Stegostoma tigrinum: one gene and its partner. The protein of the gene in region 1 binds, or shares a complex with, the protein of each later gene. Links are inferred from orthologs where the notes say so. Each region holds a gene or a part of one and is shown in the gene's direction. Other genes may lie near its edges.

Evidence for each region.
Region 2: the proteins of galr1a (region 1) and galanin peptides are in contact, whole or in part, in a cryo-EM structure (PDB 7WQ3), measured with the Homo sapiens proteins. The link is inferred for Stegostoma tigrinum from reciprocal best matches to the Homo sapiens genes GALR1 and GAL. Residues at the interface, in NP_001471.2 of Homo sapiens: Glu32, Gln92, Thr94, Val95, Tyr96, Leu98, Pro99, Thr100, His112, Gln174, Phe177, Arg180, Gln184, Phe186, Cys187, Trp188, Glu189, Gln190, Ile266, His267, Ala270, Phe275, Leu277, Ser281, Phe282, Arg285; in NP_057057.2 of Homo sapiens: Gly33, Trp34, Leu36, Asn37, Ser38, Gly40, Tyr41, Leu42, Leu43, Gly44, Pro45, Val48.

What each region holds. Positions count from the first base shown.
Region 1 is NC_081358.1:41,256,691-41,264,373, forward strand, and holds the start of galr1a (galanin receptor type 1), read left to right. Parts: upstream 1-4,643; 5' UTR 4,644-4,906; intron 4,907-5,123; 5' UTR 5,124-5,132; coding exon 5,133-5,786; intron 5,787-7,683. UniProt on the Homo sapiens protein: Receptor for the hormone galanin. The activity of this receptor is mediated by G proteins that inhibit adenylate cyclase activity.
Region 2 is NC_081370.1:17,401,874-17,410,073, forward strand, and holds the start of galanin peptides, read left to right. Parts: upstream 1-5,099; 5' UTR 5,100-5,259; intron 5,260-5,383; coding exon 5,384-5,464; intron 5,465-7,189; coding exon 7,190-7,247; intron 7,248-8,200. UniProt on the Homo sapiens protein: Endocrine hormone of the central and peripheral nervous systems that binds and activates the G protein-coupled receptors GALR1, GALR2, and GALR3.

The sequences.
Region 1 (7,683 bases):
AAAAGAAAAATGATTCACAGGAGCATCATTTGGCCAATTTTGCCAATGAGTCAAAGATGTATTATGAGTGGTGACCAAACACTTGATAAAATCAATGGATTTTCAGAAATTAGATCAGAAGGGAGAGAGGCAGAAAGGTTTAGAATGAGAATTCCAGAGCTTAGTGCCCAGCCAGCTGAAGGTATGACAGTCAAAGTTGGAGTAAAGGAAGTCAACAATGTGCAAGTAGTAGAAAACTATGGAGATTTCAAGGGTTGTAGGAGTGGCGATTGTTATAGAAATAAGAAGTGGTGAGGCCATATCCTCATGCCAGGCTTATCTATGTTTTAAAGCACAATTCACAACTTTGTTTCTGGTCTTCCAACTACATGTTACTGACCTGTATTTAAAAGTCATATTCCTTTACCCATTAATGACTAGAAAAGATAAGTAGATATCCCATCAACATTAATGTTTAGTGCCAATGTCGTTAGAGGCATCAGCATAAAAAAATCTTTATCAATAAGTGTCACAAACTCCAGTATTGCAGACAAGGAGTTATGAGAGGTAGTTGCAAACTTTGTGGTTCTGTAGTCAATAGATACTGCATTGTTATCCCAAAGAGTCATTTCAAATCGCATAATGCTACCAACAGAATCGGAACAAACTGTGCAAATTGGCAATTTTGACCTTCCTCAGAAATGAATCAGACAAGCCATCAGATTTTATTTTTGGCAAACACATAAATTAATTTGCAAAGAAAATGCAACAAAAATGACAATTCATTGACTCTGAAGAGTAACAGTTTAAACTGAGTTTCAGATGACCTTAGATTAAATGTAAATGCAAATGTATTAATTTTAAATTATGACTAAAATGGCAACAAAACAAAGAGTTGTGGATGCTGGAAATCTGAAACAAATCAGAAATTTCTGGAGAAACTCAGAGCTGTTGTGAAGAAGGATCACCAGACTTGAAACTTTGCTTTGCCTCCTCCTCTGACCTGCTCTGTTTCTCCAGTAATTTCTGTTTTTAACTTTAATGTTAATCTTGTGCAGGGTGGATTTCTGTGCCTGACTGGTTCTTTATTGTGCAAAAATTATTGTTACAAAATATTCCTATTGCAGCCTGAGAGATGAAAATATAAAGTTCTTTATTAAATAATGTATATAATATGCAGTAGCACAGATATACAAAATGGAATCTGTAGCAGCAGGTTTTATTAGGGAATAGTGCTATTCCTCTTGCTTTCCCATTTAGTGTCATTCTTTTAAAATCATTCTTTATACTATTGTACCCCAAATAGCCATTGAAATCCAGTTGAAGTATTTTTCAAACCATGTTCAGCTAAAATCGGGGTCCATGAACAGTTATACTACAAATCATTCAGCTGTGTATCTGTGCTGTTTTGTTTTGGTACACATCAGAAACTGCTCTTAGACAACTGGTACAGTTTTGCATTCATCCAGACTATTTTCTGGAGCATTTGCTCAACTGTGTTTGAAATATTACTTTGTTTTCCCATCTCTTGCTGACATTCCTTGTCTAATCTAGAAGTTCAATGAATAAACTGACTTATTTTGCTTCCATTGGGTGTACAATCTATAGTTAATATCTTCATGAGGGCCATGAACAAAATTGTAGGAGTCAAATAGAACTGTCTGCCAATGGGAGTTAAGTACACATTTTACTGAGTCAGTTACATTTAGTCAGTATTCCAAGCACTTGAGTAGCCAACATGTGTTATTGATAGGGACTAGAGAAACAACTCTCCAATGGTGGGATTGAACTCATTTCAATGGATCCAGGTCACTTAGTGAGAGAACACTGGAATGAGTAGGATGATTTGAACTACGTAAGATTGTCAAAAGATTGACAGTCAGGGAAATCCCATTGTACATGAGGGGAGTCAACAAGCCTTGGTTCTTGTCAATTTTCTGTGATATCTCTGGAGGCACAAAGGGGAGTGTGTACTCTTGATGCCAGACAAACATAACTCCTCCTTGTGGATTCCATTGTCTGTTGAAACTTCTGAGCACTTGGGAGACCAAGCAAAGTGTACAAAAGAAACTTATCAGTAGTTTTGTTTCTTTGTTGTTGCATAAATAATGTAAGCAAGCAAATCTGGTCTGAATGACGAAGTTCCTTCAGTTATTTCAATTCAACCATAGAAGAGCAGTAAAAAACATGGGAACATTCTGAAGAAGTCACACTGGACTCATAAGGTTAACTCTGTTCTTCTCTCTCCATGGATACTGCCAGACCTGCTAAGTTTGTTTCAGATTTCCAGCATCTGTAGTTTTTTTATTCATAGAAGAACATTTTCTGGTCCATCAGGTCAACTGGTGTATTTTCTATGCTGCTTACATAGTTCAGTGGTGCATTTTCTGAAACACAGCTAGACATTTACCTAACATCGCTTTTCTGAGGATCTGGTTAGTGGAGGCTTAAGATGTATTTACTGTAGAATTGAAGTGCTAGCAATATCTTAATTGGTAGCCCTTATACCTCTGAATCAAAAGTTGGGATTTCCAGACTGACCGTAGATGCCTGACTGTAAAATCTAGGTTGTTGTTCTAGTGCATTACTGAGGGAGGACTGAAATGCCTAATGTGTTGCCTTTTAAGGTGAAATGATAAAGTAAAAGATTTTAAGAAAACCTGTATAAGAAAATATATATCCTATGCAAGAAAACTATAGCACTATTTGAAGAAAATTGAAATAATTTTTGTGCACAGTACAGTAGTTATTCCCAAACCAGCATTGTTAAAATGAATTAGTTCTCTGATAATTTATCTCTGTTGTCTGTGTGCCCTACTGGGCATAAATTGACTGCTGTGGTTCCCACTTGACTGTTTTCCAGCATTGCCTCAGCTGGCAGCATGGAGACATAGAGTCATGCAACATGGAAACATACCCTTTGGTCCAACTAATCCATGCAGAGCATAATCCCAAAGTAAACTAGTCCCACCTGCATGTTCCTGGCACATATCCCTGCAAACTTTCCTATTCATGTACTTATCTCAGTGTCTTTTAAACATTGTAACTATGCCCACATCCACCACTTCCTCGGGAAGTTCATTCCACATACAAACTACCCTTTGTGTAAAAACTTTGCCTCCAAGTCTTTTTTAAATTTCTCTCCTCGCACTTAAAAATATACCTCATTGTCTTGAAATCCCTCATCCTAGGGAATAGACACCTATCATTAACCCTATCTAAACTCTTCATGATTTTATAACTTCTCAACTTCCTGTGCTCCAGTAAAAAAAGTCCCCGCCTTTCTTTATATCTCAAATCTTCCATACTCTGCAACACCCTGGTAAATCTCTCCTGAACCCTCTGTATTTTGATAATATTCTTCCAATATTAGGTCAAACAAAACTGAACACATTACTCCAGAAAAGTCCTCACCAATGTCCTGTACAACCTCAACATGATTTCCCAATGCCTATACTCGAAGGACTAGGCAATGAAGACAAATGTGCTAACTGTCATGTTTCAAGTCCCACTCTACAACTTGAGCACAGCCATTCAGATTGATGCTCTAGTCCAGTACTAAGAGAATGAAGTGTGGTTTGTTTTCACTCTAAGACCTTGTCTTCTCTTTTATGTGATTATTATGGGCCGCACGGTGGCTCAGTGGTTAGCACTGCTGCGTCAGAGCGCCAGGGACCTGGGTTCGATTCTGCCCTCAGGCGACTGTCTGTGTGGAGTTTGCACATTCTCCCTGTGTCTGTGTGGGTTTCCTCTGGGTGCTCTGGTTTCTTCCCACAGTCCAAAGATGTGCAGACTAGGTGGATTGGCCATGCTAAGTTGCCTGTATTGTTCAGGGATGTGTTGATTATGGCGGATGGATCTGGGTAGGATGCTGTGTGGGTCGGTGTGGTCTGTTTGGGCAGAAGGGCCTGTTTCCACACTATAGGGATTCTATGATGACTCTATGCGAGGTGGTAATGTAGCGATGATGGCAATACTTGGAAGAGAAAGGGAGTAATTCCTGGTGTCCTGGCCAAAGCCTATCCCTCACACACATCATATGTGCGGATTACACGAGGAGGACCAACAGCGGATGGTGGAATCTTGCTGTGCGCAACCTAGCCCCTGAGTTTCCCGTGTCGCAGCACTAACTGCATCTCAAAAGTACCGGATTGCTTCCAAAGGGACTTGAGAGATTGCGTGGTTGCTAAAGACGCTACATAAATACAACTTTTTCTTAGGCAGTGACAACAATTCATTTTGAAATACCCCAAGGTCATGGGGACGGTGCAGTTATTTGATCATACCTGAATTTGCTGCGTCCCTCATTCCATTGCCCCTACAGAAATCCTCAATGGTTATCATGTAAACATCTTTGCCAAATCCCTAAATAATATTTACAACGAAGCATTTATCTGGTGATGACTTTGATTTGAAAAACGTCACCAAATAAAAAACATACTGGATATCATTCACCTTGGAAAATTCCGTGACTGTCTGTCCAACACAACAACAACTTTTAATCATGTGCCAATTATGGGGGTGAATCCACTCTTGCATGATATCAGTCACTTGTCTTTCACCACAAGAACAGAACTGGTGGCTGGGGATGGTGTGTGTGTGTGTTGTGTGTACGTGACACTATAGCGTGGAGGCTCAGAGCTCCAGAGAGATGCTCGGCAGCGACAAACTAGCAGGATGTGAAGCGTGCACTGAGTTAGCAGCTGAGGCATCCGCTTTACTCGGCGGCAAATAAGGAGACGGCGGAAAACGAGAATCAGCTCCTTACGACGGCTACCGAACGAGTATGTATTAAAACAAAGCCAAGGTGGAGAAAGGGGAAGAAATCAGAGTGAAAGAGAGAGAGAGGGAGAGGATCATTGGAAGACAGAAGCGTACGGGAGCGAATCGCAAGTCTATAAACTCCACGGCAAACGGCATTCTACAAGTAGGTCTGATGTGAATGATTGAAAGTACAACTCAAGGTACACGCGAATGAAACCAAGTTTGGGGATGTGTTGATGAAAGGATTTAGGGAACCGGGCTTGAAGGGCCATTCGATTTTGAAGCAAGCCATTCAATTGCGCTAACTCTAGAGCAGTCTTTACTTTGCAAATGTACTCAACGTCCATGTAATGTGTTTGATTGTTACAATTTAATTGCAGTTGGTCAATATGGATGAGAACCAAAGCAGTATAGAGACCAATGACACAACGGCTGGGAACCTGGCCGCAGGACAGCAGCAGCAGATCAACGCTGACGGCTTCATTGTCCTCTTCATCTTCAGCCTGATCTTCTGCCTCGGGGTCCTTGGCAACTCGCTGGTTATCACGGTGCTGGCCCGCAGCAAACCGGGCAAAACGCTCAGCACCACTAACATCTTCATCCTCAACCTGAGCATCGCTGACCTCTCCTACCTGCTGTTCTGCATCCCCTTCCAGGCCACCTACTACGTGCTGCCCAGCTGGATCTTCGGCGGCTTCATTTGCAAGTTTGTCCACTACTTCTTCACCGTATCGGTGCTGGTCAGCATCTTCACCCTGTCGGCCATGGCCGTGGATCGTTACATCGCTATTGTCCACTCGCGAAAGTCCTCCTGCATTCGGGTGACCAGGAACGCTGTCCTCAGTGTGATCTTCATCTGGCTCCTGTCCCTCGCCACCGCTTCGCCGGTCGCTTATTACCACATGCTGGTTCACAAGAAGGATCAGGGTCCCTTCTGCTGGGAGAACTGGACCGTCCTCAGTCACAGGCAGATCTACAAGGTGGCCACTTTCGTGGTGGGCTACCTACTGCCCCTGCTTCTCATTTGCTACTGTTATGCCAAGGTAAGGCCAGTAAACAAAAACAGACTCCCACATCTGCAGGATACTGCCGCCCCTAGTTAATAGTTTTAGATGGTGATTGACACTTGATAGATTTGAACTCACTCATTCTATTGGAATCACCCTCGTCGTTCACGGCACGTTTTTCCCAATCTCTCCTCATGCCGAGACACTTTACGGCAGTCCAAGTCAAACTTCTCCCGATTTAATGGTCATTCCACGGGGTGTAGGGCAGTGAAAGGGGGAAGGTGTATTCCTGTGAAAGTACTTTTCCATTTTTGATGATTTCTCGTATAACATGGTTCTGACTGCTGGGAATCCATATCTTTGCTGGCTGGATTTTGTAAATTAAACACACACACACACACACACACGCTGCGCTGGGGGGGATAGGTTAAGTGAACATCAATCTTGGAACTTCAACTAGAATTTGAGACTACTTTTAGCTTCAAAAATATATTTTATTCATTAAAATATATGTGTATACATTCAGTGACTAAAGCAGTTCTATTCTGTACGGAAATATGTGAAGAAAACAATCAAACATTGAAGTTTGAGTCTGAGGCATGTTCCTTTGTCGATTGTTACCTCAATCCTAAAGTTGCCATCTGCTGAACGCCTTCTTGTTGGGCAGCAACCATTAGTGGTGACGATTTGGTCTGCCTGGATTTCAGTTTAGGAAAATAACAAGCTTCAGCTAGTACAATACCTGTTAAACTGCACGGACCTACACACAAGTGTGAATGCATAGCTTTTTGAGGCTGGGACGGTGAACGATTTCTTTTGACAATGTGACAGGTATAACAATGTTAATTACTGGGTTTGCATCCTGCAACTCCCTCAACTACAGAGCTCTGAGTGTCCCTACACCTGCAACAGTTCAAGAAGGCAGCTCACAACTACCTTCTCAAAATCAGGTGGAGGTGGACAATAGATGCCAGCCTTGCCATCATTATGGAAGAACAACAAATGAAAAACAAAAATTCTGATCTATTTTACCCAAGTCGTTAAGATCTTAAGCTCAACACCTTCTGTGAGGAACAGGTCTAACTAGACTTTCCTAAGACAAAAGGTGATTTTCTTGGAAGAAAAAATGCTCATGGATTGACAGCTCCTGAGAAAAAGTCACAAACTAAACTAATTTTATGAAAAACTTGCAATGAATTATTGAGAATAAGTTGGTGGAATGAGTAAGCTAACCAAAAACACAGGACCACATTAGACATAGGGCACAAAGCAGCCCGTGTGGCATTCATTTGCCACTTGACACTTCATCCATTTTTCTGAATCTAAATCTAATGTTCATAAGTCTGTATTCCTTTGCCTTCATATGATTCTCTACCCTCCTCCTAAATGTATCTGTCTATTGACTTCATCATCTTCCTATGATCAGTTATTCCACATTCTCATCAGTCTTTGTCTTCATTGATATTCCACATTTCACTTCTAGGCTATAACTATGAAATAAAAGCATTTCTGATTCTTTCTCTACCACCGTCTCTGTGTGCAAAAGATGCTAACTTAAATGATTTTTTGAACCTGATCAGTCTTAAACAAGGTGCAGAGAACTGCTGCTGATATTTTGGTGAACTGGCCTGCTATTCACAGAACCCTGTAAGTTGGTGTGGAAAGTGAAAAATGTTGACGTTGGCTTAGCAGGAATCTTCATTACAATTTGAAATGAAGTCATTTGGTTGAGGAGCTGCAGATGTAACTTTCTACTTGGTTAGGTTGTCTATCATCAAGGATTATTCATCTGCCGTCTGCAATCTGACCCCACTACCAAAGACATTGTTCCCTCCCCACACTTATCTGCTTTCCAGAGGGACCACTCTCTCGGTGACTCCCTTGGCTGCTCCACACTCCCCTCTATCCCCACCACACCCAGCACTTTTCCCTG
Region 2 (8,200 bases), on another chromosome or scaffold:
GAATTTACTGATAGCATTGACATGGCTATTTGAACAATTGGTTCCACAATCCTTAGCTTTGCAGATTGGTTGAGATTCTATCATTCTTATTCGTTTCAAATGTAAGTAAATTTCAGCATTCATCAAGAGAGAGTTGTCCTGTCCTACACAGGGATGACTGGAGTTAATTCTTCAGATGTGACCTTCACAGCAAACTAACGCTCAAGCCCCGGCTGATCTGTGTACACACACAAAAAAAACTTTCAGTGCAATTAGCACAGAGTTGAAAATGATTTTTAATCCTTGTGTACTCTTCAAAGGAAAAAGCACAAAATATGTCTGCAGTGTGACACATAATCAACAGGGGTAGTCAACCCTTCATCATCACTGCATTCACAGGAAATCACCATCCAGTCTGTTTTGACTTGCCTCTCCCTTCTCATTTTTTTTAACAAGAGTTTCCTTTGCATCCAGTGTGACATGTGATGGGTATTCCCTCCAAACAACCACTTAAATTTACATCGACTGCCATTTTTGGCTGTACCAGCATTCTTTTAGGAAGTATATTTGAAAATTTGAAGTTAAAGTCCACAATACTTCCAGGCAGTCCACTGCTAGGTCTCCACAATATCATTCACTATACATTTCTAAATAATTATTTTAAACAAAAAATACCAACATGGTTGAAATATTTCTGTTTGAATATATACAGCTATGCATGATTAGAGATAATGCCTTTATTTCAATAGACAGGTTTTATGGTCACAACCATTATTATTTCAAATATGCTTCATAAGACAAGTTATTCCAAATATGCATCAATTTTTATTTTCTAACTATGAGAATCCATAACCTACAAAATGCTTTCAATTCTATGCACCCTAATTCAAGATGATTAAGGTAATATTACGATGAAAAAGAAAATAAAGTACAAATGCAATGATGAGAGTTAAATCTATTTTCTATTGATACACTAAAAACATTAGCATTGAATTTAATGAGCAGATTTAGCATCCTATAAAGACATTTGACAAGTTGCCAAATATCTAACTTAAGAATGTCAAACTTTCAGCTTGAGATTCCTAAAGTTCTCATTTTAGGCCTTTCTTTAAAAAAAAACTTTAAAAGGGTTGCTGACACCTGGTGTTGGTCATTAATAAAAATTGAATAACTGACTCAAATGATGGTTGAGAAAAACCTATGGAAACAGTATACCAGTCTCAAAAGCATCAATCCACTACTCTTTGCAACATATCACTGAGCCAATTGCAAATCCATACCACCAATTTGCCTTTAATTCCATGAGTTTCTACCTTCTTGATAAGCCTTTAGTAAATTCCTTCCTGAAGTCCATCTACATCTGCGTCATGAACCCCTTCATAACGCTGAAGCCTTTGATCAGGTCACAACTCAGCCATTTCTTTGGATAAAACAAACCTCTCAGCTCTGATATCATACTTGTAAATCCATTTTTATGATTTTCCAAGCTTTTATATTCTTTTGTACAACAGACTAGAACTTGGCACAGTATTCTGAGTGTGATCTATCTAAGGGCCTACGTTACAGTTTAACGTAACTCAACAATTCCAAATTCCATTACTTCTAGAAAGGAAGTCAACAGTTGCATTTTTAATTTGATCTGATTGAATAACCACTATTTCACAATATAGCCTGCACCCCGAGATCTCTTTACTCTTCTGTCCCATTTCATTTCTTATTTTCTAAGTAATAGATAGCTTCTTTATTTTTCCTACCAAAATGCACCATCACACTTAGATTAGATTAGATTAGATTCCCTACAGTGTGGAAACAGGCCCTTCGGCCCAACAAGTCCACACCGCCCCTTGCAGCATCCCACCCAGGCCCATCCCCCTATAACCCCACACACCCCTGAACACTACGGGCAATTTAGCATGGCCAATCCAACTAGCCTGCACATCTTTGGACTGTGGGAGGAAACGGGAGCACCCGGAGAAAACCCACGCAGACACGGGGAGAACGTGCAAACTCCACACAGATAGTTACCCGAGGCTGGAATCGAACCCGGGTCCCTGGTGTTGTGAGGCTGCGGTGCTAATCACTGAGCCACCACGCCGCCCAGCTTAGAATCACACTAATTTCTGAAAATGTATTAAACTCTCTTTGTATTTTGTCATCTTTAGTGCAATTAGCACATTCTGGTATAGTATTGGATTCTGGAATCCAAATTATTTCCTTTAAATTATGAATGTTGTTCCAACAAACATCTCTACAGTACCACTTCCCACCTTCCACGACTTTAAGTGGCCAACCTTTAAACATACTGCTTTCTGTTTCATAGCCGGGTTTACAGCCATTCTGTGCTCAACATGCTATGAATTTAGCTAGGAGTCTACCGCGTGCGCTATAAAGTTCTTCTAAAAGTCCGTGTATGTCACCCATTTCTTCAAATTCTATGATTGAATTTTTCCAATCAGATTTCCAAACTTGACACAGTCATCCTCATCAAAATAACTGTAACTATGGTGCACAAACTCGAATCATCCATTGCCATCTCTCGTTGATGTAAGTTACGGTCTACATAACGACCGTGACTTTTACCTCCAAATAGAAAGGTTCCAAATATGAACAGAATGACGTGCGGCAGATTTTCAGCGATGACGTGAATGGCGTTTCTTTTGAAATGTATATTCTTCGTCAAACTTTTCCTTCGGAATTCTTCAAAGTCCAAGTTGGTCATGTTCAACATGCCATCGCCTTTAGTAACAACGCGCCACGATAAGTCCCACGTTCCGTTGAACACCACCCCCATGATTTCCGTCCCGGGCCGGCAGTTCACCGAAAGCCACGCGCTCCGAACACCAAACACATTTGAACGAGGTACAGAACTACACATGCGACTTGGCTACAGAACGCGCGCCAGCCTCACTGTCACATGATCTTGAACATCACGTGGGATTTTGAAGGTCTTTCGCTCTGATTTAGTGTTAAGGCTGAACATGTGAAATAATTTCTGAAAATTTTGGAAATAATCGTATGAAGAGAAGTATGGTCACGTTAACTATTGCAATCCTAAGGCGTTGACTGACCTTTTCGTACCGAATCAACCTGTTCAGAAATGTCATTCCTCACCTCTCGATCAGGTGGGACTTGAATCCGGGTGTCTCGTTTTAGGGACACTTCTACCGCGCTACACGGTGAGGAGAGGTGATCAGCTATTACAATTTAGCCAAATGGCAATTAATTAGATCAAAATTAGGGAGCCAAATTGCAAGGTTTTCTAGAGCGAAAGATAATGAAGAAAAAATGTGACATCAAACAAATAATAAGGTATCAGGCACAAATAATCAGCTTAAAATGGATGTGGATGATATGTGTATAACCAAGAAAGTAAAGACAGTTGCAGCTTAGAATCCTTGTTGCTGTGTTAGATTTCAAGCCTGTTTTAGCTATTTTGTTTCTTCAGTCGTTGTGAAGTTTGTAGATTCTGAGTTCTCCACGAAGAATTGTTCATTTTGAAAGATACCACACAATTTATCTGCTAGAACTATGAACAGCCACGGAGGCACGTGCCTCTGGTGTTGCTGTGAGAGGAACAATATCAGTCAGGGCACTGGGAGAACTCTTCTTCGGATGCAAAACTGTATTCTGTTTATACAATATTCAGTTTCTCGCGATTCTCCCTTTCTGTCCCTTTATTAAATGTGTCGGAATATGCATGGTTAAACTTAAATCCGAAGAATACCCTTTCTTTCGCTTAAGAAAACTTTGCAATTTGACTCCTTAATTTTGATCTAATTAATTACCTTTTGAATAAAGCTCAATATGTGTGATCTTAAAAAAATGTTGTGGCCTACCAAGAAGGGCATATATTGAGAGAAGCAGATCACTCCTCCTCACCTGAGGATAACACAATTAAATTGGATGTAAATAACTTCATGACACTCTGAGGACATGAACAACAAACACCAAAACAAATTCTTGCTGTAACACAGATGAATTGTGTGCAGCTGTTTAAAGCCTTACATTTTTAATACGTCTAGATCCCTAGTGAAGATTTTGTGGTGCAACGGTCTCTGCCATTGATTCAGAAGCTCCGGTTTGAGTTCCATTTGATGATCAAAGGAGGTATATTCATGCCAAATACATTGTTGTCAAACTGCGAATCTTTCCAATATAAGAATGGGTTTGATTCCTGCTCAGCCGTGTGATGGAAAGAGTTGGAGCTTCTATCTTCATTATCCATAATTACAAACAACATTGTGCAGCAAGGTGAATTCCCTGAATGATCTTCAAAACACATAACCCTACAATGCTGAACTCAAGGAAGATTGCACCATTGTATTGTTTTTCCAGTACCTTACCAGTGAAATTTCATATATTCATCGGTAGTTCCTTTCATCTAAAATTTACAAAGGTTTTGAGTACTAAATTTAGTGTCATCTAAATATTACTGCTTTGTCGACCTAATTAACTGTAAGCTGTGAACCTGGGTTGTACACTTCCATTATTTAATTTTTTAAAAAGCCCATTCCCCCAAACGAATGAAAAGATGTCTCTGAAGCCTGTAAACCTTGATTTACAACAGAAACTGTGACCAGCTTAAGACAACCGCTTGTATTTACAATTGTGGAAATAAGTAATGACATAGAGCGACGTGTTTTTATATCCAATTATATCCAGGATTAAAAAGCATTGAAATTGCAGATATTTTGATCTGCAATATCGGTTCACTAGTCACGGGGAAGAATTTAAAAAACTACAACCTAATTCTGACAAAGGAGTGTCAGTGTTTTTGTATTTTTTAGAAAGTATGCGTGTCATACACGGCAAAAAATAAGGGTCTGGAGAGGAAAGAAAATAATTTCAATACTCGCGGAGACGAAGTGTTTGATTCGAAGTCAGATGTGACAATTCATAGCTAGTATATACCAGGCAATTTACCCGTTGGGCAGCCAGCCGTTGGGACAGTGCACTCGTCAAATGTAATTATCTGCTTCGTGTCTTTCTGCAGCCAAATTACCTAAAAGTATATTTCATTTAATTGGTGTAATTTTGGATCTAATGGGAGTGACATACAGAGAAAATAGAGCTCGTGACGCTGGAGGCAGATTGGTGAGCCGATCGGCTTCGCATATAAACACACAGCCCGCTGCACTCTCGACAATAACTTCTGTGATGATAGATATTGCTCTCGTCAAGAAGCAAAGTTGTTAATTCAGCAACTGTCGGGGCTTCAACCATTTGATGTAGCAGATCATATCGTCGAATTTAGAAGAAAACACTCAGAGGAAAAACAGGGTAAGATCGCAATAGTCATGCCAATAAGTATCTATTTACTTTGTTGTCTTAAAATGATGTTCTATTTTTCTCTGGGATAGTTCTTCAGGAATTCTATTATTTTCTTCTTCCCCTCCCTTTTCAGATGCCACGATTTGCCAGTCTCCTCTGTCTCTCTCTAGTCTTGTGTGTCGCCGTCTCCCATTCTTTCGGGTTAGTTCTTTCGGTGAGTTCTTTCTGAAGTGCCTAATTTCTTAGTTCAGATACTCCATGTATCGTGTGCCAAATTTCTCTGCGTAAATTTGGACCTAACGCTGCCCATTTCGCGACTTTCTCCTTTTCTACATAAATACAGGATTGGTTTTTAAAAATGTCAGAGTATAATCATACGGACGACAATGTTAATACTGTTAATCCGAGACGAAAATAGTGTTTTAAACGCATGGCAGATATTATTTTAACAACTGAGAAGGGAAAAGTAAATACTCAAAATGAGAAAGAGTAGGATTAAGGGATCTCTGCTGCAGACTGCCATCTATTAAATAACAGTTGAAACGTTACTATTCAAAATGGAAATGGCATACTATTGATGCTGCCTATTTATTTCTGATTTTGAAATTGTATGATAATTCTGGACGTTGGGTCTTTGGCTATACCATGCAATAAAGGTCACCCGAAACATGTGCATTTGAGAGCATTTGGGGAATATTGGGGAACGATGAAGGCGGAACGGGAGTGAGAGAGACTTCAGATGGCTTGGTGAAAACTGTTCAGAAAAACCCTACCGTGTAGGTTTGATTCTCCCGAAAGGTGAAGTTTAACTACTCAAAGGATTTGTACCGGGGCGAGGTGTCCACCAAAAGCTAGTCTCTCAACGTTTTAACTCCACAGACTTTAGTAGCTGCTTGCCCAAAATGGACAAAAGGTGACACTGGGAAAATGTGCACGAGTGGAGTAGGAAATAAGACAATATTGGTTTCCGTAAAGAAAAGGCTCTCAAGTAAGATGAATCATAAACGAGAGTTTTTGGGAGACAGTCTTGTGAGGGAAGAAATCAACTCCAACTCCAAGGCAGAGGTGACCTAAATATTCTGCCAGGTCTGGAAAAGCACCTCATCTGGCTTGACAAGAGCATAAAGTGGCTTCTTTTAGTCCCAGATCATGTTCTCGTTGCCTTTTATATACCAAGAAAGCTGTGGCAGTTTATTCATTCAAGTTAGGGTTTAACAATAAATCTGAGACTTTATTGCTCCCAGCTGGCTACGGACAGGTGTCTTTGCCACCTCAGAACGGCACAATCAAATCAGAATTTGTACGGCGCAAATCAGTATATCACCAGGCTATCTTAACTAACGGCAGTATGTATGTTTAAAATTGCGGATCAGGTCTTATTCTGTTGATTCAGTTTACCCATCAGGACCACTGATGGGATTTTTTTTAAGTGCTATCTACCCTGCAGTACCTTTTTTTTGTTTTGAATGTGTTTTTTCTTTTATTTTTGCAAACATTATTCTATTCACTGCGCATCTACTGCTTTTTGTCCATTCAGTCAAACCCATCTCTTTACGAATGATTCAGTCTGAAATTTGCACTGCATCTTGCTAAATGTCTCATCAACCATTCTTGTCTTTCAGTCAAAATTGTTTTGTTTTTGGAATTCTCAACCCTCAAGTTATTAAATAGGGTATTTTGTACGGCTCAGTTTTCCTTCTTTTATTCATTGTAAATGAGGACCAGAAAACTATGGAGTCATCAATTTGTGGAGGATGACATCGCTTTTAAAAACTGTAGCTATTTTTCAGTATTGTACCCTAATTTTTATTCACCATTTCAAAAGGGAACTAGTGCAATTTAACCTTCCCTTCTGGAAGTAGTAGCTTTGTGTTTTAAAATATACGTGGATGTTTTGTTATTCTGGTACCTAAAAGTTGTTCATGAAATATTTCTGCAGCAGGCAAAAGATAAACGGGGGTGGACATTAAACAGCGCAGGATATCTCCTAGGACCACGTGAGTACTCTTTCAGCAAGTGCTAAATAATATTGTAAATTTGTAATATGTTTAAGATAATGTCAATCCTCTATCTCAATTCCTAAGCTGTGATGTTCCCTGTCAAATATCTGAACAGTATTTCAGTTGGTGGCATGTTGAACTTAACAGCACTGTGGGAATATGTTTTATCCTAAATGGTGTTAGTCTAAGCAAATGGTCCATTATCATCTCCTCCAACTACATCTCTTCCAAGTCAGCTACAACTTGGCTATAAATGCCAACCTTCCAAGTAATGTCCATATTTCTAATTTGGAATTTTACAAATCTGTTCTCTGGCTATATCTTGGTGTAATGTGTGGCTATATCTTAATGTAATGTGTAGCATAACAGTTAATTGGTGGAATCCAATCTAGAGGAGAAAAATCTGAAATATCTCATTCATTATCCTTTTTTTTTGAAAACTGAGATCCTACGAATTATTTTGTGATTAGTCAGCTGTACAAGTGTCCTGCCCTAGTATCTCCCCTAGATTTATGCACCTCCCTGCAAGTAGCAGTAATTAATAATCAGTTTTTTTGTGCCAAACGTTATTCTCTCTACGTGATCAAGATGATTGTTCATATACTTTTTTTCAGCTGAAATCAACTCACTCTGCATGAAATGTAGATGTAACTATAAAGTTCTGCACTGTAGAAACAGACCTTTCAGCCCAACATGTCCATTCTGAGCATACTTCCTAAACTGAATAATGCAAGTCAAGATAGGTCGTATTAACGGGTTTTCCTTTGTCAACATTGTTCATTGCCACCTCAAAGAATTCTAACAGATTTGTTAGGCTTGACTTCCCCTTGGCGAAGCCATGCTGACTGACCTCTGTTTTATCATGCACTTCCAAGTACTGTAAACTTTAGCAATGACAAAGTTTGCATATATCTTTTGTGTTCTCAATGAATGTTTGTTTCCCCAAATTG